7 linked regions of the Macaca mulatta genome follow. The protein of the gene in region 7 purifies or fractionates together with the protein of the main gene of each other region. This does not show direct contact. Links are inferred from orthologs where the notes say so. Each region holds a gene or a part of one and is shown on either strand. Other genes may lie near its edges. The genes, in order: UBN1, H3-4, IPO4, CABIN1, MMS22L, TLK1 and ASF1B.

Region 1 (3,500 bases), on a different chromosome or scaffold from region 7:
GCCTCAAAGGACAAACCAAAACAACAGCGACAAGGCAAAGACACCAAGACTCTTGGCAGTGGCAAAGCACCCAGGGGTGGAGAGGGCGAAGGCACATGGTGCACATGGCACACTGACCGTCGGGTGATTACCTGGCAGACTCTGCGGGATATGGGTGGGCACGGCAGCGTGTGGGAGAGGCGCTGCATGGGGCGGGCTGGAGTGCAAGCCAGCCAGAAGACCTGAGAGAAAACAGGAGGGGAGAAAAGAACAAAACACACACATTGAAGACAGGCACGGAAAAGCAGCTCCAGCAGGCAAGAGCCCCTGACAACCTGCCAGGCCAGTCTGGGCACCACACCCAAAGGGGCAGTGGGGGCTCAGCACAGTTCCCGGAGATGTTCCCCACAGTCACACACCAGACTCAAACAAAGGAACCAGAGTACATGACAGCAGGACCCCTGGCCACAATCTAGAGGTTCCCAAGTGACCAGAGGCAGCAAAGAAGCACTTACTGTGGCCAAGGCCATGGTGGAAGGGCCCAGGGGCAGGGCCTGTGACGATGGCATCCTTGGAGACCCCTGCTTTGGCAGAGGAGTCAGCGCTGAAGGAGAGCACATGGACAGGAATAGGGGTTATAATTCCCACGGTGTTCGAGCTCATGGCCCCAGACAGTTTTGGGCTGCTGGATTTGTAGGGTGAAGCCATCAAAGAGGAGCCAGTCAGCATCACAGTCCCACTCGCTCCTTTCTAGGGAAGAAACACAGCAAGAGGTAAGAACTCCAGTCCTGTTCATGGCTGACTCACACCAAACCTGGCAACACAAAGGAGGACACACACATCCATGTCAGCTGGCCCTCGGAGGCACCCTCCGACCCTGCAGCCCCAAAGACAGGACCCAGGACAGTCTTTATGAACCAACATGGAATGGATTCCAGGCAACATAATTTTTTAAAAAGCAGGATATTCAATATGTCTCCTACAGAGGTTGCAGTGAGCTGTGATCACGCTACTGCAGTCCAGCCTAGGTGACACAGCCAGACTGTGTCTCAAAAAAAAAACAAAAGCCTCCTTTGTGAAGGGAAAAATGTAATATACATATCCATAAATGTTCATGTGTATGTGTATATATATTTATGCACATACACATACATACATATATATATATATATATACCTTTGTATATATTTATTAATCTTTTGTTTAAAAAGAAAATAAACCAAAAACTAAAAAGCTTAGTTACCTTACAGGGGTGGTGGGTGCAGGAAAGGAGGTGAGACCTCCAACAGACCTTTCTATGATTTTGTCTTTGCAACCACTTCATTTATATATTAAAAAAACAGGCCGGGCGTGGTGGCTCACGCCTGTAATCCCAGCACTTGGGAGGCCGAGGCAGGCAGATCATGAGGTCAGGAGATTGAGACCATCCTGGCTAACACAGTGAAATCCCGTCTCTGCTAAAAATACAAAAGATTAGCGGGGCGCAGTGATAGGCTCCTGTAGTCCCAGCTACTCGGGAGGCTGAGGTAGGTGAATGACGTGAACCCCAGGAGGCGGCGCTTGCAGTTGAGCTGAGACAGCGCCACTGCAGTCCAGCCTGGGTGACAGAGCAAGACTCCATCTCAAAAAAAAAAAAAAAGAAAAGAAAAGAAAAAGAAAAAGAAAAAAAAAAATGCTCATTCCCTCTTCCCGAACCTGCTAAATTACTGGACTCTGTCCTTCAAAAATCAACAGAATCACTCTTAGAAGGTCCTGCTATTCCTGGTCCATGAACACCCCCACATGACTCCACTGAGAGAAGACTGCACCTCCATCGGCCTTGTTTAGAGAGACGGAGAGGCAAGGGGTCACAGAAGGCGAGTGCTGTGGCTCATTCTGTGCCACACAGACCCAGCCTCTGAAGAGGCATGGTGCTGGCTGTCTTTTAGCTCCCTTTGCCCTCTTCAGAAGAAGCTTTAGGCCATCCTGGGCTTCCTGTCACCAGAAAAGTGAATACCTGAGAACAGGGAGCCCAGTCTCCCGTCTCCCTTCCTACGTCTGAGCCCACTGTTCCTACCTGACCTGTGGTTTTAGATCTCTCTCTCCACCCGGGGCAAGGCAAGCAACCTCATCCCCAAGGCCCCTGTGAGTGGGGCAGGGCAGGCTGCTATGCCGGATACTCACTGACAAGGAGGTAGACGATGTCACACCACTGACTGAAGAAGGTACGGGCGCGGTCAGCAACTTTGCCACTCCCTGGGTCCCTCCACTGGAATCTCCGTTTGGACCGCCTGGAGGCGCTACCAGGGTCAACTTCTGGGAAACAGGCATTTTTTTCCCTGTTGAGCTTGGGACGGGTCGGCTGGTGGCCTGTCCCACGGAGGGAGGCTGTATGCCAGGGACCAGGCTCCCAGAAGCAGAACTCTGGACTGGTGTTCCTCCCGAGGAAGAGCTGCCAGAAGAAACCCCATGTTTGGAGACAGAGCTGGCAAAGGGATTATTCTTGTAAGATGAGCCTGCAGAACTGACTGAGTGTGGCTTTGCTGGATGGCTCAGGGCAGAAGAGGACGAGGCTGGGGTCTTGTGAGAGCTGCTGCTGGAGGCTGGCAGGCCTCCTGAGGTGGCTGGGGCAGAGGGATGGAAGCCCTGGCCTTTGGCCGCTGTCTTCACTAACTGCAGGAAGGAACGATGACACTGTGGGGGAGAAGCCTTTGGGCCTTGGAGCTTATTGGCAAACGGAGATGGGGGCGTGAAGTTTTTCTGTTGCTGAGTGCCGGCATGAAAGACTTTGACCTGGGGGCCAGGCACGGGAACTGCCACTTGGGGCACGTGAGACGTCCGTGGCAAGCTGTGGTGCTTTGCTTTGGACTGATGTACTTCTGGCAGGCCCTTATTGAGGGGAGCCTGGCAGGACAGCTCTTTGTAGCCAGAACTCTCTGGTTTTTTCTCCTGAGAGGACTGCCCCAGTGCCAGAGCCTGTTCTGCCAGAAAATTGAGGGGTGACTGCAGAGAGCTAGCTGGTGGTGGAGCAGAAGGACTGGGCTTCACAAAGTTCCTTTTTTCTTCTGCACATAAAACACCTCCAACTTTTTCTGCAGGTGCTTTTGAGGGTGCAGGCAGTGTGAATTCAGAGTTCCCAGCTGCTCTGCTATTCAATGCAGCCAATTCCTTGGACACAGCTTCCACAGAGGAGGCTGGATTGCGGATCAACTCTTCATCCAACGAGTCCTCCACGTTGACAGGAGGAGGGTTAGCAAGGCCGCCCGATGCCTGGGATGGGAGCTCCCTGCTCGAGGCCCCAATACTCAGGCCTCCTGTCTGGTGATCTGAGGGCAAAGCAATGGGGCCACCAACCTGTCCTGATGGGACAGAAACCTTTTTATCAGGCTTCGTAGACGATTCCTAAAGGAAAACAGAAATGCTGATGTTTAGAAAGGTCCAAAGATGTCAACATTGGCCTGTGGTGAGGATATAAACGTGAACTTGAGGCGCAAAAAACTAGGTCTTCCTGTATAATTACAAAACAAGCGGTAGGAGAGAGC
Region 2 (3,437 bases), on a different chromosome or scaffold from region 7:
ACTCAGGTCAAAAAAACAAAAAAAGCACGGTGGCCCAGCATGGTGGCTCAAGCCTGTAATCCTAGCACTTTGGGAGGCCAAGGTCGGGGGATCAGTTGAACTCAGGAATTCAAGACCAGCTTGGTCAACATAATGACAGCCCATCTCTCCAAAAAATTTAAAAATTAGCTGGATGTGGTCCCAGCTACTTGGGAGGCTGAGGTAGGAGGGGCCTGGGCAACAGAGCAAGACTGAAAAAAGAAAGAGAGGAGGGGAGGGGAGGGAAGAAGATAAAAAGAAAGGAAAGGAAGGAAGGAAGAAAGGGAGCGAAGAAGGGAGGGAGGGAGAGAGAAAGGAAGGGAGGGAGGGAGAATGGAAGGAAGCAAGTATAGGGCCCACCTCTGCTTCTGGTGAGGGCCTCTGGCTGCTTCTGCTCATGGTGGAAGGTGAAGGGGAACCCATGTGTGTGCAGAGGTCACAGGACTGCACAAGAGAGGAAGCCAGAAAGAGAGGGGAGGGGAGTGCCAGGCTCTTTTCAACAACCAGCTCTTCAGGGAACCAACAGAGTGAGAACTCACCCTAAAGGAGGGCAGGACTCTATTCAGAGGGTGACACCTCCAGGACCCACACACCTCCCACTGAGCCCCGGCTCCAACTTTAGGGATCAAATTTCAGCTTCAGAGTTGGAGGAGATTTGGAAGCTTCCACCTTCTGGTCCTTGATGATAAGAACGTTCCCTTCCTTTTACTATAAGGAGAACATCTTTCATAGGGGAATTCTATTTCTTGCCTTTAAGAAACAACAAGAAATTCAGAATGATCTTCCTACACCTGCCTCTTTTTTTTTTTTTTTTTTTTTTTAAGTGCCTTTATCTCAAAAGAGTTAATATGCCAGAAAGGCATATCTTTACCTTCTTCAGCATCCTAAGGCTCATCTGAGCCATACAGCAAAGGGAGTTCTTTGCAGGTCATAAAAAGTGGAAGACTCCTTTAACTCTGGTTGGATCCCAGAGCTGTATCACTGTGTAAAAGTGGAATGCCGGCTGGGCGCGGTGGCTCACGCCTGTAATCCCAGCATTTTGGGAGGCTGAGGCAGGTGGATCACGAGGTCAGGAGATCGAGATCATCCTGGCTAACATGGTGAAACCCTGTCTCTACTAAAAATACAAAACAAAATTAGCCGGGTGTGGTGGTGGGCGCCTGTAGTCCCAGCTATTTGGGAGGCTGAGGCAGGAGAATTGCCTGAACCCTGGAGGCGGAGCTTGCAGTGAGCCGGGATTGCGCCACTGCACTCCAGCCTGGGTAACAGAGCGAGACTCCGTCTCAAAAAAAAAAAAAAAAAGTGGAATGCCAGCTGGGCCTGGTGGCTCATGCCTGTAATCCCAGCACTTTGGGAGGCCGAGGCAGGTGGATCACCTGAGGTCAGGAGTTTGAGACCAGCCTGGCCAATATGGTGAAAACCCATCTCTTTGTGGTGGATACCTGTAATCCCTGTAATCCCAGTTACTTGGTAGGCTGAGGCAGAAGAATCGCTTGAACCTGGGAGGTAGAGGTTGCAGTGAGCAGAGATCGCGCCATTGCACTCCAGCCTGGGCAACAAGAGTTAAACTCCATCTCAAAAAATTTTTTTAAAATTAATTTTTAAAAAAAGTGGAATGCCGCATGCTGGCTTTCGGAAGGCTCTTCCCACCCAAGTCATGAGGAAGGGAGAAGAGGATTGCTGAGGAGACACGAGGAAGCTTGTGCTGGAGAGAGATGATCTCCACCGCCGTGGCCTACCCGCATCAACCCTTCACAATGCTGGTGCTAGCTCTGGTGGCCACGACCAACAAGCACTAATATAAGGGAGAGGCGGCCGAGTGGCGTGCCCTGTGGACCAATCAGAGAGTAGGGGGCCATCACGCCACCTGAGGCCAGCCAATGAAAACGCGGCAAGCTCTATAAAAGCGGGCAATCAGCTTAGGTCTGGTCAGAGGACACAGCAGAGACAACAGTTTCAAATTCATGGCCCGAACCAAGCAGACTGCGCGCAAGTCGACGGGTGGCAAGGCGCCACGCAAGCAGCTGGCCACTAAGGTGGCTCGCAAGAGCGCACCCGCCACTGGCGGCGTGAAGAAGCCGCACCGCTACCGACCTGGCACAGTGGCGCTTCGCGAGATCCGCCGCTACCAGAAGTCCACTGAGCTGCTAATCCGCAAGCTGCCCTTCCAGCGGCTGGTGCGCGAGATCGCTCAGGACTTTAAGACCGACCTGCGCTTCCAGAGCTCGGCCGTGATGGCGCTGCAGGAGGCGTGCGAGTCTTACCTGGTTGGGCTGTTCGAGGACACCAACCTGTGTGCCATCCACGCCAAACGGGTCACCATCATGCCCAAGGACATCCAGCTGGCACGCCGTATCCGTGGGGAGCGGGCCTAGGAGGGCCATCTCGCCACCTGAGAGGTTGCGCAACGTTCACCCCAAAGGCTCTTTTAAGAGCCACCCACCTGGTCGGAAGAGTTGCTGTAGCAAGCCAGGCTCTTGGGTTTTGGGGGTTCCTTCCGCTGGCCGGTGCTGGCTTACCTAATTCTGATTAGGGTGGGAGGCTGGCGAATCCTGTGTTCACCCTGTCCAGTTAGGAGGCCAGCTACTCATGCGCGTTACCTCCCAGCCTGTCTCCAGTTACAAGTCCAGCTAGTCGTGTGTGGTGCTAACTTGGTCTATCCCTTTAGATAAGAATCATGGTTGGTCTGTTTGGGGACGGGGTGTTGAGGGTAGCGTAACTGGCCTATCTGCAGTTAGGTAAGCAACCCCAGCTAGTTGTGTCAACTCAGCCTATCTACAGTTAGGTTGGAAGGCTGGCTGGTCTTGTGTGTTCTCAGCTCAGCCTCTTTCAAACTGTTACAAGTCCTGCGTGTGTGTGTGTGTGTGTACACACAGCTTCTTTCCAGTGAGGTTACCAGTCCAGCTAGTCTCCTACCTAGACAGCCTGTTAAGGCCAGCAAGTAGTATGTGTTATCTTGGCCTATTTTCAGTTAGAAGTCCAGCTACTTCACCAGCGTGGCAGCTCAGGTCTGTAATCCCAGCACTTTGGGAGGCCAAGGCGGGTGGATCACCTGAGGTCAGGAGTTCCAGACCTGCCTGGCCAACATGGTGAAACCCCATCTCTACTAAAAAGACAAAAATTAGCCAGGTGTGGTGGCACATGCCCGTAATCCCAGCTACTTGGGAGGCTGAGGCAGGAGAACTGCTTGAACCCAGGAGACAGATGTTGCAGTGAGCCAAGATCATGCCACTGCACTCCAGCATGGGCAACAGAGCGAGACTCAGTCTCAAAACCAAAAAAAAAAAAAAAAAAAAAAACAAAGTCCAGCTACTTGTGTGTGTTAACTCAGCCTACCTCCTGTTAATTTAGAAAGCTGGCTAGTTGTATATCTTGTTAACTTGGGCTATCTCCCATTAGGTTAGAAGGCTGGCTAGGGG
Region 3 (4,280 bases), on a different chromosome or scaffold from region 7:
GAGCCTGCCCATTCCTGTGGAAATAGACCTTCACACCTCCCAGGGTCTAAACGTCCTTGGCCTCAGGGGACTAGGCACACTTGGAGGTAGGGACACCAGAAGGACAGAGCCACACTTACCAGCTGGGGACACAGCTTGTCGGGGGGCAGGTGTAGCGCCAGCATGTCCACAACCTAAGATAGGATGGGGAGACTTACTTTGCTCGACTCCATCTCTGCCTCCCCAACCTCCCACAGCCACCTAACACCTTCCCCCTCTGTCCTGCCCCACATCTCACCTGTACAGCAAAATGCTTGGGAGTCTCCCCCATCAGCTCAATCTCCAACTCTTCCTCTTCTGAATCCTGGTCCTCAGGATCCAACTGGCCTGGCAGGGGCTCAGCAGCCATAATGGGGAAAAGGGTGTGTAGCAAGGGTGGCAGGAGACGATTCTTCAGTAAGGCCTTGACAGAGAAGGTGGAACAGTGTCCCTAAGAATCTGCTCCCAGGATGGGCTCACATTAAAAATTCCAGTCTTCCAGGCCATAAAAGGTCCGACAGAAAATTCCCAATCTCCCAGGCAGGAGCTGGGGTGAGGCTAGGCCAAGGCTTGAACCCCCACAGTACTTTAGATACCCTGAGATGAACCGAAAGTCCCAGGAGTGAGACTAAGGGTAGAGAGTGGGTGGGGTGATGTGTGTCAATGGGCACTCACTCACCTTGCTCTTGACTTTGACCAAGAAAGTGAGGCAGCAGAGAACACGTACGCGTATCGCATTGCCCAGGGCCACATTTCTAGCCACCTGTCCAGAGAATAATAAGAATCAGAGACAGGGAAGGAAAGTCCCAACAGAGCATGTAGCAGGGGCCATGTCCACTCCAGGCTCACCTCCAGGCAGAATGTGAGGACCTCAGAGAGGTAGGGGGTGATGATGGGCACCTCTGACTCCAACAGTTCATCCAAAACCTCAAGGGCCTCACAGGCCTTTGCCTGACAAACAAGGCACAAGGTTACCATGCTCTTCTTCAGTGGGCCAAGCTGGTCACTTTTGCACTCTTCTTCCAACAGAGCTCCTGCCCACCTGTCCTCACCTCATCTATGGGGATCAGAGTCTGCACAGCCACGATCAGCTTGGGCACCAACATCCGAGCGAGAGGCTGAGGGACACATCACAGACAGCATGATGCAGCCTAATCTCACACCCCAGCAGCTGACAGCTTCCTCATAGCCTGAATTGCGAGGAGGAGCCCAGACATAATAGCCAGGCCCACCTACAGCATCCCCTCTCAATTGTCAGGAAGGGCCACAGGCAGGTAAAGAATCCAAAGCAGTTTTGTAACTTTTACAGATGAGGACATGAAGGCCTGAGGAAAGGGAGTCAAAGATACGAGGGCCCACATCTCACCACGTCTTCAGTGCTGAGGTAGGGGGCCATGGTGGTCAGAGTGCGCAGGGAGTAGAAGAGCAGCCCAGGAGAGCCCACCTCACCAAGAGTCTCATTCAGAAGCCGAAGCAGCTCCCGGTGGTGGGGTTGGAAGGCCTCGGGCCGGGAGGTCACCACCACACTTAGCAGCAAAAGCCCCATCTGTCCAAGAATAGAGGATTGGAGAGCAAGCTTACATGGTCTATCCCACCTCTTAGTCCCTCCCTCCTGCCAACCATGTGATGGTACCTCTCTCTCTGGGCTGTGGGGGCTGTGGGTACTGTGCTGAAGAAGCTGCAAAAGCTGTGGCCAGGCCTCCAGGCCTTCCTTTCGAAAAATGGTGGCTGAAAGCTGGGCCAGGCTGAGGCTCACACAGTGCCTGCAAACAGGAGAGATCTCCTCTATCACTCTCCAATACCTTCCTCTGCACACAGTGGCCAGGCACAATGGGGCAGCCAGGAGAGAAACTTTCAGGAGGTGTGGGCACAGGGTCTTTACCAAGTTGGGACACATGAGACAGCAGCTCAGAGGGAGCCCAGCAGCACTGCGGGCATGTAATCTGGTAAGTTCAGTCTTACTAGCCTGAATTTCAGTCTTATTCTTCTGACTCGAGTTTGGCAGATCATAGTCACCCTTCCTCAAGAACTTCAGTCTTCAAAACAGCCTTAAAATTTTCGCTCCACCTTGGGTCTAGAACTGAAGTCCCTGCCCCACAAGTCCCAGCCTGGAACTGAAAGGGAAGGCAGAAACCCCGACAAGGTCGTCAGGATCCCGAGAAAAGGGGGTAGGTACTTACTCTGTTTCTCTCTGCAGGGCCGTCAGGATCAGGGACTTGAGGCTGGAACACAGTGGGCAGGTGTTTGGTACACAGACTGCCCAAGAAAAGTCTCCGCCTGGCCCCGCCCCAACCCAGGCCCAACCCACCTCTCCCGTTGCTCCGCCGCCAGCCGTCGCCAGCGGGTGTTCAGTCGTCTGCGGGTCAGCACCGCCGCAAACTGGCGGATCTAGGACGAGGAAACAAGCACGTGGGGGTCCGGGCAGGAGGGTGCTGAGCGGACCGCAGGGGGCGGATATTGGGGCTTGACCAGTGGCGTACAGTGGGAAGCTCGGAGGGGAGAGTCAGGGGTCTCACCTGGGGGTCGGCCGCCGAGGCCAGCAGGTCGCAGAGAGCCGGCAAAGCGGCGGGGGCCCGAAGAGCGATCTGGAGCTGTTCCGTGGCCTGGGGGGAAGCTAGGGGTGAGAGTCGGGTCTTTCCCGCAACCTCCCGCTCGCCCTGGCCCGGTTATGCCTACTCCCGTACCCGACGGATGCGCTCGGTGTCCGGCAGCAGCAGCTCCCGTAGGAGCTGCTCCAGGCCGGCGGGCTCCATGGCAGCAGCTGAGCCGCCGCTACTGGGCCGAAAAGGGGAGGGGGAGGGACAGCACGTGGAGGCGCTGACACCCACTTCCGGCGGAAAGGGCGTTGCCACACGCCCCGAGGGTTGCCAAGGTGATTCAATTCACTTCCCACAAAGAGGTCCGACTCCTCCACTTCCGTTATGCTGAGCACCGGCTGAGTCGCGGAAACCCAGCTCTGGCAATGTAGGTTCCCCACGCCGGGAGTTCCCAAGTTGGGTTGGAGAACTCAAGCTTCGGGCATTCAGTGGCCAGCTCGGCTTTCTAAAGGACCGTGCCCTTAACCGCGGGGCTGGAGTTCCTATATCCAGACCAAAACCTCCAACTACATGATCCTTTTTCTTAACAAATTTTATTTTGATAATTGTAAAAAGAAAAATCAGGACCAAAACTAAAGGCAACTTAAAAATTTCAAATATATACTCCTTATGTAATAGAGATTTATAATTTCCAGGCCCTCTCTGGGGAAGGAAGGCCCAAAGGGCAAAGGGGAAGGCAACAATGCCATCACACAATTCAGTCAATCAGAAGAGAAGCTGGTAGGAGAGCTCAAGGAGGCATGAAGAAAGGGAGAGAACAGCAATACTTCTGCCACACAGAACTCAGTCCATCTTGAGGTTAACATAGATATACCGGATGAACTTTAGGGAAGAAAAAAAGGAGATGGTGCCCAGCATGAGGAAGAAGACATAACCAGTGAGTAAGGAGTAGCCAAAGAACTCTACTGTCTGTACTGCCCCAGACATGTTGGAGCGCCGGGCATAATAGAAAACTGAGTAGAGAAAGATGAAGAGGCCAGTGGAGCCAACACTCAGCACAGATCGCCACCACCAGCGGTAATCCTCCCCAGACAACTGGAAGTAGGTGAGTGCAATGGAGATGCAAGCCCCCACACTCAGCAGGATGGCGAAGACAAAGAAGAGGATGCCGTACAAAGTGTACTGCTCCCGACCCCATACTGTGGCAAAGATGTAGTACAGCTCTACAGAGATGGCACTGTGAAGAAAAGAGATGATACACAGCATTAAAGGGCTGTGCACAGTGGCTGGGCTGAAATCCAGCCCCCACCCTCTCCCATGTTGCTGGGTCATTGTGAAAAGTGAGTTCACTCCACTCTCTGCCCCAGATCTCCTGGCTTCATGGGGATTTTTTGCCTATGATTAGCTGCTCTCACTTCAAGAATATCTTCCCTAATAGATTGAGGGCAGGGATCTTATCCATTTTACTTTCCACTTCATTCTTTGCCTGGCACAAAGAGGTATTCAACAAAGTAAATGGATCATCAAATGGGCTTTAAACCCCACATGATGTCCACAGACACTAAAGTCAGAAACCAGGAAGGTGAAGGGGGAGATGTCTCTGGAGGCCCTTATAAGTGAGACATTCTTATATCTGAACTGATTCAAGCTCAGTCCTGCTTGGAGATAGGAGGAACCATTTAATGATCTCTGAATGGTACCACTGAACCAGGGATCAGCAGGTTG
Region 4 (3,500 bases), on a different chromosome or scaffold from region 7:
GGTCATTAGGGCCTCCTCCCCACCACTCTCCTCCACACCCTGGGAGGGGACTGCTGGGGCCTGGCCTGGCGTCGCCCAGCAGCAGGTAACCTGAAAGGTAAGGACCTGGGTCCCCTTGCTCTGGCCACCCCCATAACCCAGGCTGTATCTTCCAAGGTCTCTGACGGAAACTTCTGCCCACCCAGCCCTCAGGGGCCCTGATATGCATGTCCTTGGCAAAATGGGGTCTGGCCCTGCCCTGACTCCTGCCAGCTCAGCACCCCTTTCTTCTCACACTATGGTGTGGGGTTGTGGGGGGGTTTCCTGTGTGGATCTATTTTTTAAGGACATCAAAAGCAGAAACAGCTCTCCTGTCTCCTGAGTGGTCACCACTCACATGTCCACCTGCTTCACCTGGGCCAGTGGAGGAGGCACGGCACCCTGGTGGACCTGGGCCTGGGCCCAGCACTGGGGCCCAGGCAGCTGTGCTATGCACTCTGCCCAGCTGGACAATGAAATGGTGGGGACTGCTGGGGTTTGGGGCACTCCCTGCCAAGGACTCTGGCCCTTAGCTGGGGACCAGGCCCACCTACTCCCCACAGCATGCCCTGTCTGGCCCACAGCCTGCTTGGTCAAAGCTGAACCTCCCAGGCTTCCGCTGACGTAACAGCCCAGGCAGGTGGTGGGGGCCTGAGGCCCCATTCCACTGAGAGGAAGCCTGTCTGGACCCAAAAGGCAGCTACCAACCCTCTGCTAGGGGACCTGGAACAAAGGGACCTGGGGTGATGCTACCCGGGGCATCGGGCCACCCCTGGGGACAAGAGGCTGCACCTACTCAAATGGCATGCCACCAAACCTCTGGCTTGGAGGCTTATGTTTTAGACAGAGCACACCTGCTCTCTCTGCCTGCCATGTCTGCCCCTCCCTGCCTCATCCTCTCACTGAGATCTGATCCCATCCCTCCCACTTCTTCGGTCGTGGAGACCCCACCCCAACTCATAGCCAGACCCTGCCCACTGGCTTCAAGCTGGACTTCTCCCATGGAGACTTCTCTCCTCCAGACCCAGCACCTTACCTGCTCCTGCTCAAGCCCTTTCCAGCCTCATCACTTCTCAAAAATAGCCCTGGCCCCTGGGTTCCCATATCCATCAGGCCCCCATCCTCACTGCCCTGGCATTGCTGACCAGCTGGCCCCTGGGAACACTCTCCTTCCTGGCTACTTCCCTGTCCTGCCCAAGTCTCTTCTCTGTGCCTGTGACCTGGCCAAGGTCCTTGGCCCTGCCTGTGTCCTCTTCTGGCCTCTGATGGCTTCAGGGGCACTTACCCCAGGTCTCTGGCCTGGACTGCCCCTCCAGGTGGGGGCCCCTGACCTTCCTGACCACTTGGCCTCTCTCTCTTAAAAGAGTCTCAGACTCAACACAAACCCAATCTCAACCCTGGCTTGGGGTCCTCCCAGGAGGGGCCTCCCCCACTCCCTACTCTCTGCCATATCTTGGACCCTGCCCCAGCCCTGGCCTGGCCCCTGAACCAACCCCTTCTTCCCCACTTAGGAGCGTGGCTGCCTTGCTTTCTCCCTGCTTAATAAACTCCAGGACTCCTGCCTACCCTCTCTTAGGACACCTTGCTCCCTACATGCCCTCCCCTCATGGAGGGGGGGGTCCCTGTGTAGGCTGCATCTCCACCTTTACCCAGCCACCTGGCTCCTAACCAGCCTGGCTCTAACATTGTTTCTTCTACTACTGTCCCAGAAGGAATGACCTTCCCAGGTGAGGTCAGCTGGCTAGGGGTCATCCTCCTTGATAGAGAAAAGGTGGCTGAGGTGAGGAGACCCCTCGGCATGTCTGAACTGGGGTCTAGGCCCTGTCAAGTTCCCGCCCACCATGGCCATGGGCTGGAGGCTCAGCTGACCCCTGCTCATCTCCCCTTGGCCCAAGCTGACCACCACAATAACAGTCCCAAAAGTGGAACTATTTCTCAGCCTGCATCCTAGGGCCTTGACATGGAGCAGGCTCCGCAAGATGAGGCTGGCACAGGCTAAATTGGGCTTACCTGTCTCTGGGCGGCAGCCCCAAGATGGACCTGGCAGAACTTCACAGCCTGCTCCAGCGCAGCCTCCTCATCCACCTTAACAGCGAGATGCCGGAGGTCAGGGGGCCCAGGCCATTGTGGTGAGCCTCCCCCAGCCCTGTCTGTGTATGTAGCACGGACCAGCCTAGGTAGGGGGCATGCCCTGTGGCTCGGGTGCCCCCCACCACCCCAGACTCCACTGAAGAGCCAGTTGTCCCCACTGCTGTCCACACCCGGACCCCTACCTCCCAGCTCTTCATGGGTAGCAGGGGCAGGTGCCCATCCATCTTCCAGGTGGGGGTGCCTGTTCAGGTGCCACAGCACCAGGTACTGGTGCCAGGACTAGACCCAGCCGTTCCTCTGAGCCCATCTGGCTATACCAAGCTCATTTCTATGGCTGAGTTACTTACATCCTCACAAGCTGAAGCTGGCAGGCAGACTCAGGGCTCCAACCAAGCCTTCAAATTCAGCTGAGGCTCAGCTGCTAGGGGATGAGGGGAGTCTTCTGAGCTAAAACCTGCCCCGTAAGTGGGCAGGATAGAGGGCCATGATTAGAGTGGGAGAGGCCTTTTAGAATCCCAGGCCTGATGGAGATCGCCCCATGCTGTGTCAAGTGTGTCTGGAGATTCAGTGCCCAAGGTCCATATGATATGGGGCAGTTGGGGCTGGGGTGCATTGCAAACTGACATGATTAGAGGGAATACTGTATGTCAGGGATGGTCATCCCATCTGAGCCAGTCACTAAAGTTTTGGAGATTCTTCCTATGGGAATAATTTTAAACGGAGAAAAAGGAAAGTGCTTGATATATTAAAATAAAATGTTTTAAAAAAGAAGGCAAAATGAGAAGGGGATCTCTGGTCACTGCAGCCATCTTTAGATGACAGCCACAGAAGTCTTGAAGGAAATGCCCTAAGATGCGCCCAGAGGCCCGTAACAGCGGTGGGAGCAGCGGTCCAGACTCCCTGCGCTGGTTGTGATAAGGTTTCTGAGATAGGCTCTCACTTCCTTCCAGGCTGAATATCAACTTTTTAAAGCTCATTGCAGAATGTAAACAGTGGGGAATGGGGTGGGAAGAACACCTAAAACCCAGCTCAAGGGCAGGCCCGGGAGACCCTCCTTGAGAATAGAAAGGCAAGAGTGGGGATGCTACCAGCACACAAGTGCCCCCAGGCCTCTGCCCGCCGCCCACCTGCTTGATGAGCATGTAGGTCTCCGACATGATCCTCTCCACACGGCCAAGGTCGTAGGCCACACCCTTCTGGCCCTGCTGCCACACACGGTAGGCATCCAGTAGAAGTGTCTTGCCTGACTCCGTGTCCTCCAGGAGCTTCCTCTTGCGGCTGAGCCGGGGGAGCGGCTCCTCGGGGTGGCCCCCTGCCCTGGTCCCTATGGTGGTGGCAGGGGCGGGGGCTGGCTGGGCTGGGGTGAGCGGGGTGGGCTGCTGCCGGGCACT
Region 5 (4,210 bases), on a different chromosome or scaffold from region 7:
TTGCCCAGGCTGGTCTGGAACTCCCAGTGTCAAGGGATCCACCCACCTCAGCCTCCCAAAGCCACTGTGCCTGCTCTGGCCTGGAGTTTTCTTGTAAGAAGTGGTGTGTGTGTGTGTGTGTGTGTGTGTGTGTGTGTGTGTGTGTGTGTGGAGAGAGAGAGAGAGAGAGAGAGAGAGAGAGAGAGAGAGAGAGAGAGAAGGGGGGAGGCTTAACCAAAGATTCTGAGTACTATGATAAATACAGAGATACTCAAATTTTCTTCTTGAGTTTTGAGTTTCTGTCTTTTAAGGAATTTGTCCATTTCACCTATGTTTATTGGTATAAAAATGTTCATAATGTTCTTTTAATATCCTTGTCCTTTTAATGACTAAATTTCATAGTGATGAAACCTTTTTAATTCCTGATACTGATAATGTGTTTATTTTATCAGTCTGGGTAGAGGGTTTATCAATTATATTGCTCTTTTTAAAAAACAACTTTTGGTTGCATTTATTTCCTTCCATTTATTTCAACTATTTATTATTTCATTCATTTTGCTTGTTTTGGTTTCAATATGCTGGTGGTTTTTTTCTAGTTACTTAAGACAAAAGTTTATTGAGTTGAGTTCTTTCTTCTTTTTAATGTAACCAGGTACTATTACAAATTTTAATGTTTTCGTTTTAATTGAAAGTATTTTCTAATTTTCCTGTGATTTTTCCTGATTCATAGGTTAGTCACAAGTATGATTCTTAATCTCCAAAATTAGAGTTTTTCAGTTATCTATTTTTTTATTTCTAGTTTAACGCCATTATGATCAGACTATATACTTTGTACGATTTAAGTCCTTTTAAAGTTGATGACGTTTGTTTTATGGCTCGGAATGTGGTCTCGCTTAGTGAATGTTTCATGTGCACTTGCCAAGAGTGTGTATTCTGCTATTGTTGGGTTGGTCACCTATAAACGTCAATTAGGTCAAGTCGGTTAATAGGGCTTTCCAAGTTTTCCATATCCATACTAACTTTCTGTCTACTTGTTCCATCAGTTACAGAGAAAATTTACTGTTGCACTTGCCTGCCTCACAGTCCGTGGACAAAAGGCATCCTGCATTCTAACAAGAGTTGCTGGCCCCAGAGCGGGAAGAGGGGACGGCGCGACTGTAGGTGTGAACCAGGCACTCACTTCGCACTCACTGGAGTAAATCTCTTCCCTTTAGCCAGAGGATAAACCCGTAGTCCTTAAATCCTCCTCTCCTCCGCCTCAGCAGCAGTTCCGTTTTTTTTTTTTTTACCAGGCCCCTCCTTCCAGTCGAACGCACCAATTAAAGGTACAAAAAAAAAAAAAAAAAAAAAAGTTTATCTGTACCTTGTCCCGGGTTGACTGACTCTCGCGAGAATTCGTGGAGCTCCGACTGTTTCCGCGCAGATATCGCGAGGCGATTGGTAGCCGGGGGAGGGCTGCGCCGTGGCCCCGCCTTTCCGGAGCGCGGGCGCGCGGTGGCGGGAATTTCGCTTGTTTGCGGTTTAGACCCCACAGATTCCTAGTGGTGGTATGGGTCACAGGAGGTAGATTTCGGAAGCTGGAAGTGTGAGCAGGTACGACAGGCACCTCGGGTAACCGACGCACCGGGTCCTTGTTGCAGCCGGGTGCGCGGGATACTGGCACCCAGCCTTCTCCGCCCGAGTGCTGCCGGGCATGGGCCTGGTGGGTCTCGCCTCCTTGAAGGGTTGAGGTTGGCTCTAGGGACTGGTTTCCTGGTTTCCACCCCGAGCCGGGGAGGGAGCGTTCTCCACCTTGCTGCTAGGAAACGGGCGGAGAGTGGTTTAGAAACCTTGCGGAGGGCGAAGTTCTAGGCGAGCCCGGGACGCTCTGTTCTGCAGACATTTCTTTGCTTTTCACCTTGTCCTGGGCTGCACAGTCCGACCTAGTGGGCTGATTTTGAAGTCCCTGCCACAGCCAGTTGGTTGTGCATTTTGTCTTAAGTTCTGGCAGCCTTGAGGGGCGGAGCGGCAGGGGAGGATTGGGAATTTGGCTTCTGGGTTTGTTCGTTTTTCCTTGCTGCTGGCGGACGTCCTGGGAACTTTCTGAAGTAACCCCCAGTCTCTCGGCCCCCACCTACAGGAATTTCTTCACACCTTCTCTTTGGAGCCCTTAATGATACGACGAACCCCAAACATTTCAGAACATGAAGTAAACAATGGAAAACTGTTCTGCCGCATCGACGTTCCTGACTGACAGTTTAGAGCTGGAGCTGGGCACAGAATGGTGCAAACCTCCTTACTTTTCTTGTGCTGTTGACAACAGAGGAGAAGGAAAACATTTTTCTGGAGAATCCTACCTTTGCAGCGGAGCCCTTAAGCGGTAGGTAAAGCTCAGAGACATTTTCCCTCATCTGATTATTCGCCAGTTTTTTAGGAATGTTAGTTACTTCAGCCCATTTAACTTGGGTGTTCACCAAATCATGTTGTATAAATCAGCTTAGTATATCATAAGGGTACAAATGATTATCAGTTCTGCTGCTGGCTTCTTGGTAAGGGCATATCTAAAGCATTTGGGGTATTAGGGAAAACTTCCTTGGTAACTGATGTGCCCTTACTGTAGGGAGCTGGGCGCTAATTTTTCTTTTACTTAAAGTGAATTCCTAACTGTCTGAGCCTTTTGAAATGGTATTTCCTTCTAAAGGGTGTGATAATATTCTAGAGCTTTCCAGTAATTTTTAAGAAAGACAAACATTTTTTTTATTGCCCCGTTCCTTTTAATTCTACCTATTTTGCTTCGGGCAGGTACATACATATTACAGTAAAACTGCTGTTCTTGAAATATTTTGGTAATACCTGCTGAGGCAGTTTCAGTCAGGAAACTGTTTTTGTTGACTTTATAGTTGTACGTTGTGAGAGACCTTAAATAGAATACCCAACTTCATTAATTGGATACTGTTCTCCAGATAAGGCTCAGAGTAACTGTTAGCAGTTTCAACAATTAAATGTCCCCTCGGAGGATAAAATTCTACAACTGAAGACTACTGGTGAAGACAGGCAGAAATATGTGTTTTAGAACCCGTGTTGATTTTTCCTCTTAATTTACATTACACTTTAGTTGTACATTTTATCAATATAGAAGATTGACATTTTAATACAGTCTAGCTATTGTAATCTTGAATGTGTAAAGTACCAAGGCATTTTCTGACTTTTTATACATGTCATGTATAATATGGATTCAAATAATGTAAAGGTATGGTACTTAGTTTACTTTTTAATGGGATTAAAACATAATTTTCATTTCAGATTGATTTTGAATCTTGATCCTTTACCAACTAATTTTGAAGAAGACACCTTAGAAATATTTGGCATTCAGTGGGTTACTGAAACAGCATTAGTGAATTCATCTAGAGAGCTCTTTCATTTATTCAGGTATTTCTTCGTTTTAACTTTCTGTGAGTGTAGGTGTTGTTCACTTGTGTAAATTACATTGTTGGGTGGCTTCTAATACTGATACTGCAAAAGACCAGGAGAATTGTGCAGGTTGCTCACTTGATTATCTTACCAGTAACGGTAATCAAGCAGCAACACCTGATGAATAATGGTTTTAATGAGTTGTGTTTTATTTTCAGAATCTTTATTCTTTGCATTTGACTTCATGTATTGACAAATATTTAAGGCTTTGAACTATGATTTTGGAAGAAAATTAAAATACTTTTGTTGTTCAATAGCCATAGTGTTTCAGTGATCTTTAGAGTATGATCTTTCCAAATAAATAGTTTAGATTGTGTAATAGAAATATTAATTCTCTATTTGGACAACATTAAAAATTTTTTTAATGAAAAAATTTAAGCATACACAAAATAATATAATGAACATCCATATACCCTCCTTCAGTTGCAGTAAACAACAACTTTTTATTACATTTCCTTCATATGTCTTGTCTCCTCTTCTTTTGATTCTTTTGACTGACTTGTAAGCAAATCCTAGGTATCATGTCATTTCACCCATAAATACTTGAGTATGAATTTCTTAAAAATATGGGCTTTTTAAAAACGATGAGGACAGCTAGGCACGGTGGCTCATGCTTGTAATCCCAGCACTTTGGGAGGCCGAGGCGGGCAGACCACGAGGTTGGGAGTTTGAGACCAGCCTGACCAACATGGTGAAACCCCTTCCTACTAAAAATACAAAAATTACCTGGGCGTTGTGGTGCGCGCCTGTAGTCCCAGCTACTCGGGAGGCTGAGGCAGGA
Region 6 (3,500 bases), on a different chromosome or scaffold from region 7:
GATAAAGAATCACGGACTTAAAATTATCTTAAACTTTTTGGTTTATTGCTAACGTTTTAGATATAGTTCTTTTATATGCATTGTTTTGCATATTGGATTTCATTTTTAAATTTACTTTCATTGTGTGAAAGTTCAGTATCTAACTAGGAAAACAATATTGGTTTTCAGTAATTTAAAGAATCAGAGTTTCACTTATTTATTCAAGCACCTTGTTTTTATTTCTTGTGTCCCCTTCTTGTCTTTGTCTTTAGACATACTTGGTTGTGTCTTACTCATTTTGTACCTTTGAGGATATCACATTGCTGTGTATAAAGTAAGGCATAAGATTCAACAGTAACTTTAAGAGTTGTAGTGATAGCATTGATACAATGTTATAATCTGCTTTCAGTGAGTGTATTTTTGAACTAGTGACCAGATAAACTATGAAATTCATTAATAAATTGATATTAAACTACATAAGGGCATGTATTATTGTCCCTAGTACTAAGTTTGTTTTTTGAACTATCCTAATAAATTTTTAATATTTTCCAGAATAATTTATTTGGCCTTTTTTTTTTTTTTTTTTTTAAACAGTACGAAAGCATTAAGATTTCTTTTATAGCACTAGAATGTAAGCTCCATGAGGGCAGGGAATATATTGTATTTCTCACTGGGTCTTATGTAGGAGGTACTTAATGAATGCTTGTTGAATAAATGGTGATTAAAGTTTTCTAAAAGTCACTTATGTTTCAATGTAGGTATTATTCTGATAGAAACTTCTGCAGAAATGTTAAGTAATTGTTGCTAATTAGAAACCTGTTTTTTTTTTTTTTTGCTAATATAAAATTTTTAATAATTTTTTTAGGTTCGACCGAATAGCCCTTCTCCTACTGCATTAGCATTTGGGGACCACCCTATTATACAACCAAAGCAGTTATCCTTTAAAATTATTCAGGTAAATGATAATTAAAATGTTTTTTTCCCATGGCTTCTAAGAAACCATTGACTAACTTACTAACAACTGAGATGTCTGTTTGTTTTATATGTAGTCATAAAGCAGAATTACACATCGAGAAAGATAACAGTAATTACTAAACAAAAACAACGGAATTTGTAGGAAGGAGTGAGAAACTGAAACACAATTTACTATCAGCTTTTTAAACAACCATAACATGTCACTTCTGTTTACTGATTCTTTCTGAACTTAATTTCCAAGTATATGTAATTGATATATTGTGAAACTGCTGTATTTTTTGTAAGTGTACATTAAAGCCGCTCATTTGACTGTATGTATGTAAATACATATATGTGACAAACTATAAAAATTATTTGAATTATTTGTATATTTTCTACACTTACTTAGTTTCATGAATTTTGAGCACTAAGTTCTTCATTTTAATTTTTTACGTGTGGTAGTTTCTGAATGGCACTTTCTCAGACTGGGGTTTGGAAGAGTAGAGTAAATATTACTCTTCAACCTCAGCTTGCCAGTTTATTTCCATTAGATTTTATTTGTGAGGTCATATCCAAACTGTTGTGCATGTATCAAAACCTCTTTCTTTGGATGATCCTGAGGCTAGGATTACAAGTACATTCCTTCATCCACTGAGTAGATCATGAAAGGTTTTGCTGCATGAGATGTTGGTCAAAGGACATAAAATTTTAGTTAGAAAGAATAAGTTCAAGGGAACTATTATACATCATGGGGGCTACAGTTAAAAACAGTATTTTGTGTATATGAAAATTGCTAAGAGAGTAGATTTTAAGTGTTCACACCACGAAAAAAAGATATGTGTTAAATAACTTGATTTAGCCATTCCACAATGTAAACATATATCAAAACATTGTGTTGTATACCATAAATAGATAGGTTTTTACTTATCAATTTAAAACAGGTTTTGCAAAATTCAAAAAAATCAGCTAGAGGAACGTATAGCACAAAGCAGCGGATATATTGAATTGTAATGTGGGACATCAATATTCTAAGTAATTGACCTTTCTAGATGTTTCTTGGTAAGTCTGTAGCGTTTATACATTTGAAGTTATTAAAACTGCACTAAAACTTTTTGAGATTCACTTTACATATGCACACAAATATATTTTTCTTTACCTTTTGAATTTGGAGTAAAGTCTGGTTTTGTGTTTGCTTGAAACAACATATATAATGGAGATAATAAAATAACTTTTTTCATTTAGACTGATCTCACAATGCTGAAATTAGCAGCATTAGAAAGTAATAAAATCCAGGACCTGGAAAAGAAGGAGGGACGTATAGATGATTTGCTCAGGGTAAGTAATGAGTCATAGAGGGGAAAAAATTGAATAAATTATTTGGCAACAGTCAAACTGTTCAGAAAATACTTAGCATTGCAAAAAAAAAATCTGTAGCTAGGCTGGGCGCGGTGGCTTATGCCTGTAATCCCAGCACTTTGGGAGGTCGAGGTGGGCAGATCACAAGGTCAAGAGATCGAGAGCATCCTGGCCAACATGGTGAAACCCCGTCTCTACTAAAAATACAAAAATTAGCTGGGCGTGGTGGCGCACGCCTGTAGTCCCAGCTACTCGGGAGGCTGAGGCAAGAGAATCGCTTGAACCTGGGGGGTGGAGGTTGCAGTGAGTTGAGATCGCACCACTGCACTCCTGCCTGGCGACAGAGTGAGACTGTCTCAGAAAAAAAAAATACTGTAACTAGAACTCAGTAAGCTTTTTCTGTTAATTTAAGTACGTGATTGAAAATACCAATTTTAAAGTGAAATATTTTATTAGATCTTCAGTAAATTGGGAATTGAGAAACTGTTGGAGAACTGGAAGGAAGTTAATAACATTTATGTGACCAACAACCGTAACACAAATAGCCATTTCATGTTAAAGTTTTTGATTTTACTATATGCCTGACATCTGATACCGATAGGATGAAGTAACTGCTGCAGTTCTGAAGGATTTTTAATGGAAGCTTTATTTAAAAATACATCTAGAAGTATACTTATAATGTAAGGGTTTAAAGCAGCAGTTCTTACCCTTGATGCTCCTTAGACTCACCAGTTGGGAAGGGTGAAAGAACTAATGCCTGAACTCTACCCTGAGAGGTTCTGATCAAGTTGATGACATGATGTGGGCTTGGACATTGGTAGTTTTAAAGGCTCTCCTGGATAATTCTAATGTAAGCCAGAATTGAGAACTACTGGTATAGAAACTCAATAAAACCAACACCTGTGATCCTACTGTGTTTGTCAGTACCTTTAAAACATCCAGTGTGTCTTTTTCCTGATCCTGTCATACTTACTTTCTCACATCCATTTACCATTTAACCACTATTTTAAATTTTGTGTTTGTCATGCCTTGGTGTTTCTTTATGGTTGTATTAAATATGTGCTTACATTCTTAACAATATATTATTTCATTTGGTTTTTGAACGTTAAATGAAATTTTCCGGTATGGACCCTTTTGCCCAGCTTGTTTTCACTGAATGTTATATATCATAGAGTCGTCCACTTTGATGAGTATAACTGTAGTTTGTTCAT
Region 7 (3,385 bases):
CACCACACCCAGCTAATTATTTTGTATTTTTTAGTACAGACGGTGTTTCACCGTGTTAGCCAGGATGGTCTCCATCTCCTGACTTCATGATCCGCCCGCCTCGGCCTCCCCAAGTGCTGGGATTACAGGCGTGAGCCACCGCGCCCAGCCTACACCCAGCTAATTGTTTTTATTTTTTCTAGAGATGGGGGTCTTGCTATGTGGCCAGGCTGGCCTGGAACTCCTGGCCTTAAGCAATCCTCCTGCCTCTGCCTCCCAAAGTGCTGGAAGCCACCACACCCAGCCAGAATCTACATTTGACAACTCAGGCAGGGTGCTGCATGAGAGCCACTTAGGAGTTACGGTCTATCCTCATTCATTATTCATGGGATCCATATGTGCAAGTTCACCTACCTGCTACATTTATTTGTAACCCCAAGATGAATACCTGCGGTGCTTCCACGGTCACTTGCAGACATGCACAGAACAGGGAAAAGCTAGAGTTACCTACCACGCCTGTTCCTACCTGAGGTCAAACAAGGCAACGCTCTGTCTTTTGGTCTCAGTTCTTACTGTGAATGAGCATCCTTTCCTCAGCCTACTTAGTGCTACCTTTTTTCCATGTTTTGTGCTTTTTGTTGGTGAGTTTGCTGTCTATGATGGCACCCAAAGGTAGTGCTGAAGTGCAGTGTAGGGTGCAAAAAAGGCCTTATGGAAAAAATGTATATTAGAGAAGCTTCATTCAGGAGAGTTACAGTGCTGTTGGCTGTGAATTCAACATAAATGAACCACAGTATATATTAAATAAGGTGTCTTTTTTTTTCTTTTTTTTTGAGATAAGTCTCTCGCTATATCACACAGGCTGGAGTGTACCGGTGTGATCTCAGCTCACTGCAATCTCCACCTCCCGGGTTCAAGCGATTCTCCCACCACACCTGGCTAATTTCTGTATTTTTAGTATAGATACGGTTTCACCATGTTGGCCAGGCTGGTCTCGAACCCCTGACCTCAGGCGATCCACCCACCTCAGCCTCTCAAAGTGCTGGGATTATAGGTGTGTGCCACCATACCCGGCCTGGTGTCTTTCAACAGCAACACACATACAAGTTTACGTATTGACTGGCTGACGAAAACGTGACTTCCAACAATCTAACCTTGTATTTACCCTGGGGCAATGGTTCAGTACTCACTAAATCAGTGTTCGCGGCAACTTTATAGAACATAACTCTTGTGAATAACGAGAATTGACTGTAAATCAGTGGCAGCTTTGACACAGAGGTGGGGGAAGGGAGGGCCTGAGAGCCTCTGAGAGGTCAGATAGTTCCTGACAGTAGAACTAGGATTTGAACCTGAACTTTAAAATTTTTTTTTAATTGATTGATTGACACAGGGTCTCAACTCTTTTCTTTTCTTTTTTTTTTTTTGAGACAGAGTCTCACTGTATTACCCAGGCTGGAGTGCAACGGTGTGGTCTTGGCTCACTGTAGCTTCCACCTCCCAGGTTCAAGTGATCCTCCCATTTCAGCCTCCCAAGTGGCTGAGACTACAGGCGTACACCACTATGCTGTGCTGATTTTTAAGTTTTTTGTAGAGCTGGGGTCTCACTATATTGCCCAGGCTGGTCTCAAACTCCTGGCCTCAAGCAGTCCTGCCACCTTGGCCTCCCAAAGTGCTGGGATTACAGGTGTGAGCCACTGTACCCGGCCTCTGTTTTTTTAATACTTGTTTTTTCCTTTTTTTAGAGACAGGGTCTCACTGTGTTGTCTAGGCTGGAGTGCAGTGGCTCAATCATAGTTCACTGCAGGCTCGGACTCCTGGGCTCAAGCAATCCTCTCACCTCAGCCCCTGGAGTAGCTGGGTCTATAGGCGTGAGCCTCTGTGCCCAGCTGAACTTGAACTTTTGATTCCTGAAGCACTCTGTGGGATTTCAGGTAAAAGAAGATGTTTCTAGGAGTCAAGAGCTAAAGGCCTAAGGCCTCATCTTTCTTACCTGAAAGACAAACATGTGTCTCCCTGCTGGTACAGGGCCCACCAGCACCGAGTCTAGGATCTGATCAAACTCCTCACTCTCAGCGGAGCCAACATAAATGATCTTCCACTCCAGGTCTGCAAAGACATAGGAGGGTTAATGAATTGAAATAGCTCAACAGCAACAAGGCAGGGAAAGGCTCTTGTATTCATTTTTCTTTTTTTTTTTTTTTTTTTGAGACGGAGTCTCGCTCTGTCACCCAGGCTGGAGTGCAGTGGCTGGATCTCAGCTCACTGCAAGCTCCGCCTCCCGGGTTCACGCCATTCTCCTGCCTCAGCCTCCCGAGTAGCTGGGACTACAGGCGCCTGCCACCTCGCCCGGCTAAGTTTTTGTATTTTTAGTAGAGACGGGGTTTCACTGTGTTAGCCAGGATGGTCTCGATCTCCTGACCTCGTGATCCGCCCGTCTTGGCCTCCCAAAGTGCTGGGATTACAGGCTTGAGCCACCGCGCCCGGCCTCATTTTTCTTTTTTGAGATGGAGTCTCATTCTGTCATCCAGGCTAGAGTACAGTGATGCGATCTCGACTCACTGCAACCTCCGCCTCCCAGATTCAAGTGATTCTTGTACCTCGGCCTCCCGAGTGGCTGGGATTATAGGTGCCCGCTGCCACACCTAGCTAATTTTTTTTTTCTTTTTTGAGATGGAGTTTCACTCGTCACCCAGGCTGCAGTGCAATGGTGTGATCTTGGCTCACTACAATCTCTGCCTCCCAGGTTCAAGTGATTCTCCTGTCTCAGCCTCCCGAGTAGCTGTGATTATAGGCGCCTGCCACCATGCCTGGCTAATTTTTGTATTTTTAGTGAGAGGGTTTCACCATGTTGGTCAGGCTGGTTTAGAACTCCTGACCTCAGGTGATCCACCCGTCTTGGCCTCCCAAAATGCTGGGATGACAAGTGTGAGCCACTGTACCCGGCTTTTTTTTGTATTTTTAGTAGAGATGGGGTTTCACCATGTTGGCCAAGCTGGTATCCAACTCCTGACTTCAAGTGATCTGCCTGCCTCAGCCTTCCAAAGTGGTGGGATTACAGGTGTGAGCCACTGCGCCCAGCCACATCTTGTATTTTATTTTTACTATTTTTCAAGGCAGTCTCCCTCTGTTGCCCAGGCTGGAGTGCAGTGGTATGTTCATGGCTCACTGCAGCCTCAACCTCCTGGGCTCAAGCGATCCTCCTGCCTCGGACTCCCACCATGTTGGGAATACAGGTGTGGGCTGCTGTGCCCAGCCTTGTGGTAATTTTAAACAGAACCTTAAATATATTAGAAGATTCTTATTCCATCCATCTGACACTTAGTGCCAGGCAGTGCAGTCCTGAATGCTGAGGTGGGCACGAAGCTCTACCTCCATTAGGGAATTCTGTTTTGTAAGCCTAGCTATG

The links.
Region 1: the proteins of ASF1B (region 7) and UBN1 purify together in Homo sapiens (affinity purification with mass spectrometry; 3 studies listed by BioGRID and IntAct, counting the BioPlex papers as one, with this or other methods). This does not show direct contact. The link is inferred for Macaca mulatta from reciprocal best matches to the Homo sapiens genes ASF1B and UBN1.
Region 2: the proteins of ASF1B (region 7) and H3-4 purify together in Homo sapiens (affinity purification with western blotting; 3 studies listed by BioGRID, with this or other methods). This does not show direct contact. The link is inferred for Macaca mulatta from reciprocal best matches to the Homo sapiens genes ASF1B and H3-4.
Region 3: the proteins of ASF1B (region 7) and IPO4 purify together in Homo sapiens (affinity purification with mass spectrometry; 5 studies listed by BioGRID and IntAct, counting the BioPlex papers as one, with this or other methods). This does not show direct contact. The link is inferred for Macaca mulatta from reciprocal best matches to the Homo sapiens genes ASF1B and IPO4.
Region 4: the proteins of ASF1B (region 7) and CABIN1 purify together in Homo sapiens (affinity purification with mass spectrometry; 3 studies listed by BioGRID and IntAct, counting the BioPlex papers as one, with this or other methods). This does not show direct contact. The link is inferred for Macaca mulatta from reciprocal best matches to the Homo sapiens genes ASF1B and CABIN1.
Region 5: the proteins of ASF1B (region 7) and MMS22L purify together in Homo sapiens (co-immunoprecipitation; 4 studies listed by BioGRID and IntAct, counting the BioPlex papers as one, with this or other methods). This does not show direct contact. The link is inferred for Macaca mulatta from reciprocal best matches to the Homo sapiens genes ASF1B and MMS22L.
Region 6: the proteins of ASF1B (region 7) and TLK1 purify together in Homo sapiens (co-immunoprecipitation; 3 studies listed by BioGRID and IntAct, counting the BioPlex papers as one, with this or other methods). This does not show direct contact. The link is inferred for Macaca mulatta from reciprocal best matches to the Homo sapiens genes ASF1B and TLK1.

What each region holds. Positions count from the first base shown.
Region 1 is NC_133425.1:6,139,999-6,143,498, reverse strand, and holds part of UBN1 (ubinuclein-1), read right to left. Parts: intron 3,361-3,500; coding exon 2,143-3,360; intron 730-2,142; coding exon 495-729; intron 222-494; coding exon 132-221; intron 1-131. UniProt on the Homo sapiens protein: Acts as a novel regulator of senescence. Involved in the formation of senescence-associated heterochromatin foci (SAHF), which represses expression of proliferation-promoting genes. Binds to proliferation-promoting genes.
Region 2 is NC_133406.1:86,178,103-86,181,539, reverse strand, and holds H3-4 (histone H3.1), read left to right. Parts: upstream 1-1,268; 5' UTR 1,269-1,982; coding exon 1,983-2,393; 3' UTR 2,394-2,937; downstream 2,938-3,437. UniProt on the Homo sapiens protein: Core component of nucleosome. Nucleosomes wrap and compact DNA into chromatin, limiting DNA accessibility to the cellular machineries which require DNA as a template.
Region 3 is NC_133412.1:97,305,763-97,310,042, forward strand, and holds the start of IPO4 (importin-4), read right to left. Parts: upstream 2,801-4,280; 5' UTR 2,772-2,800; coding exon 2,703-2,771; intron 2,622-2,702; coding exon 2,535-2,621; intron 2,407-2,534; coding exon 2,327-2,406; intron 2,241-2,326; coding exon 2,199-2,240; intron 1,782-2,198; coding exon 1,652-1,781; intron 1,565-1,651; coding exon 1,385-1,564; intron 1,137-1,384; coding exon 1,071-1,136; intron 970-1,070; coding exon 868-969; coding exon of another isoform or gene 857-867; intron 782-856; coding exon 698-781; intron 443-697; coding exon 278-442; intron 174-277; coding exon 120-173; intron 1-119. Other genes in the region: TM9SF1 (transmembrane 9 superfamily member 1 precursor), read right to left, coding at 3,399-3,792. UniProt on the Homo sapiens protein: Nuclear transport receptor that mediates nuclear import of proteins, such as histones, RPS3A, TNP2 and VDR. Serves as receptor for nuclear localization signals (NLS) in cargo substrates.
Region 4 is NC_133415.1:28,349,091-28,352,590, reverse strand, and holds part of CABIN1 (calcineurin-binding protein cabin-1), read right to left. Parts: coding exon 3,237-3,500; intron 2,104-3,236; coding exon 2,029-2,103; intron 1-2,028. UniProt on the Homo sapiens protein: May be required for replication-independent chromatin assembly. May serve as a negative regulator of T-cell receptor (TCR) signaling via inhibition of calcineurin. Inhibition of activated calcineurin is dependent on both PKC and calcium signals.
Region 5 is NC_133409.1:88,588,266-88,592,475, forward strand, and holds the start of MMS22L (protein MMS22-like), read left to right. Parts: upstream 1-1,410; 5' UTR 1,411-1,572; intron 1,573-1,745; exon of another isoform or gene 1,746-2,098; 5' UTR 2,099-2,174; coding exon 2,175-2,338; intron 2,339-3,261; coding exon 3,262-3,387; intron 3,388-4,210. UniProt on the Homo sapiens protein: Component of the MMS22L-TONSL complex, a complex that promotes homologous recombination-mediated repair of double-strand breaks (DSBs) at stalled or collapsed replication forks.
Region 6 is NC_133417.1:76,010,108-76,013,607, reverse strand, and holds part of TLK1 (serine/threonine-protein kinase tousled-like 1), read left to right. Parts: intron 1-844; coding exon 845-934; intron 935-2,175; coding exon 2,176-2,268; intron 2,269-3,500. UniProt on the Homo sapiens protein: Rapidly and transiently inhibited by phosphorylation following the generation of DNA double-stranded breaks during S-phase. This is cell cycle checkpoint and ATM-pathway dependent and appears to regulate processes involved in chromatin assembly.
Region 7 is NC_133424.1:14,711,295-14,714,679, forward strand, and holds part of ASF1B (histone chaperone ASF1B), read right to left. Parts: exon of another isoform or gene 2,626-3,385; intron 2,086-2,625; coding exon 1,970-2,085; intron 1-1,969. UniProt on the Homo sapiens protein: Histone chaperone that facilitates histone deposition and histone exchange and removal during nucleosome assembly and disassembly. Cooperates with chromatin assembly factor 1 (CAF-1) to promote replication-dependent chromatin assembly.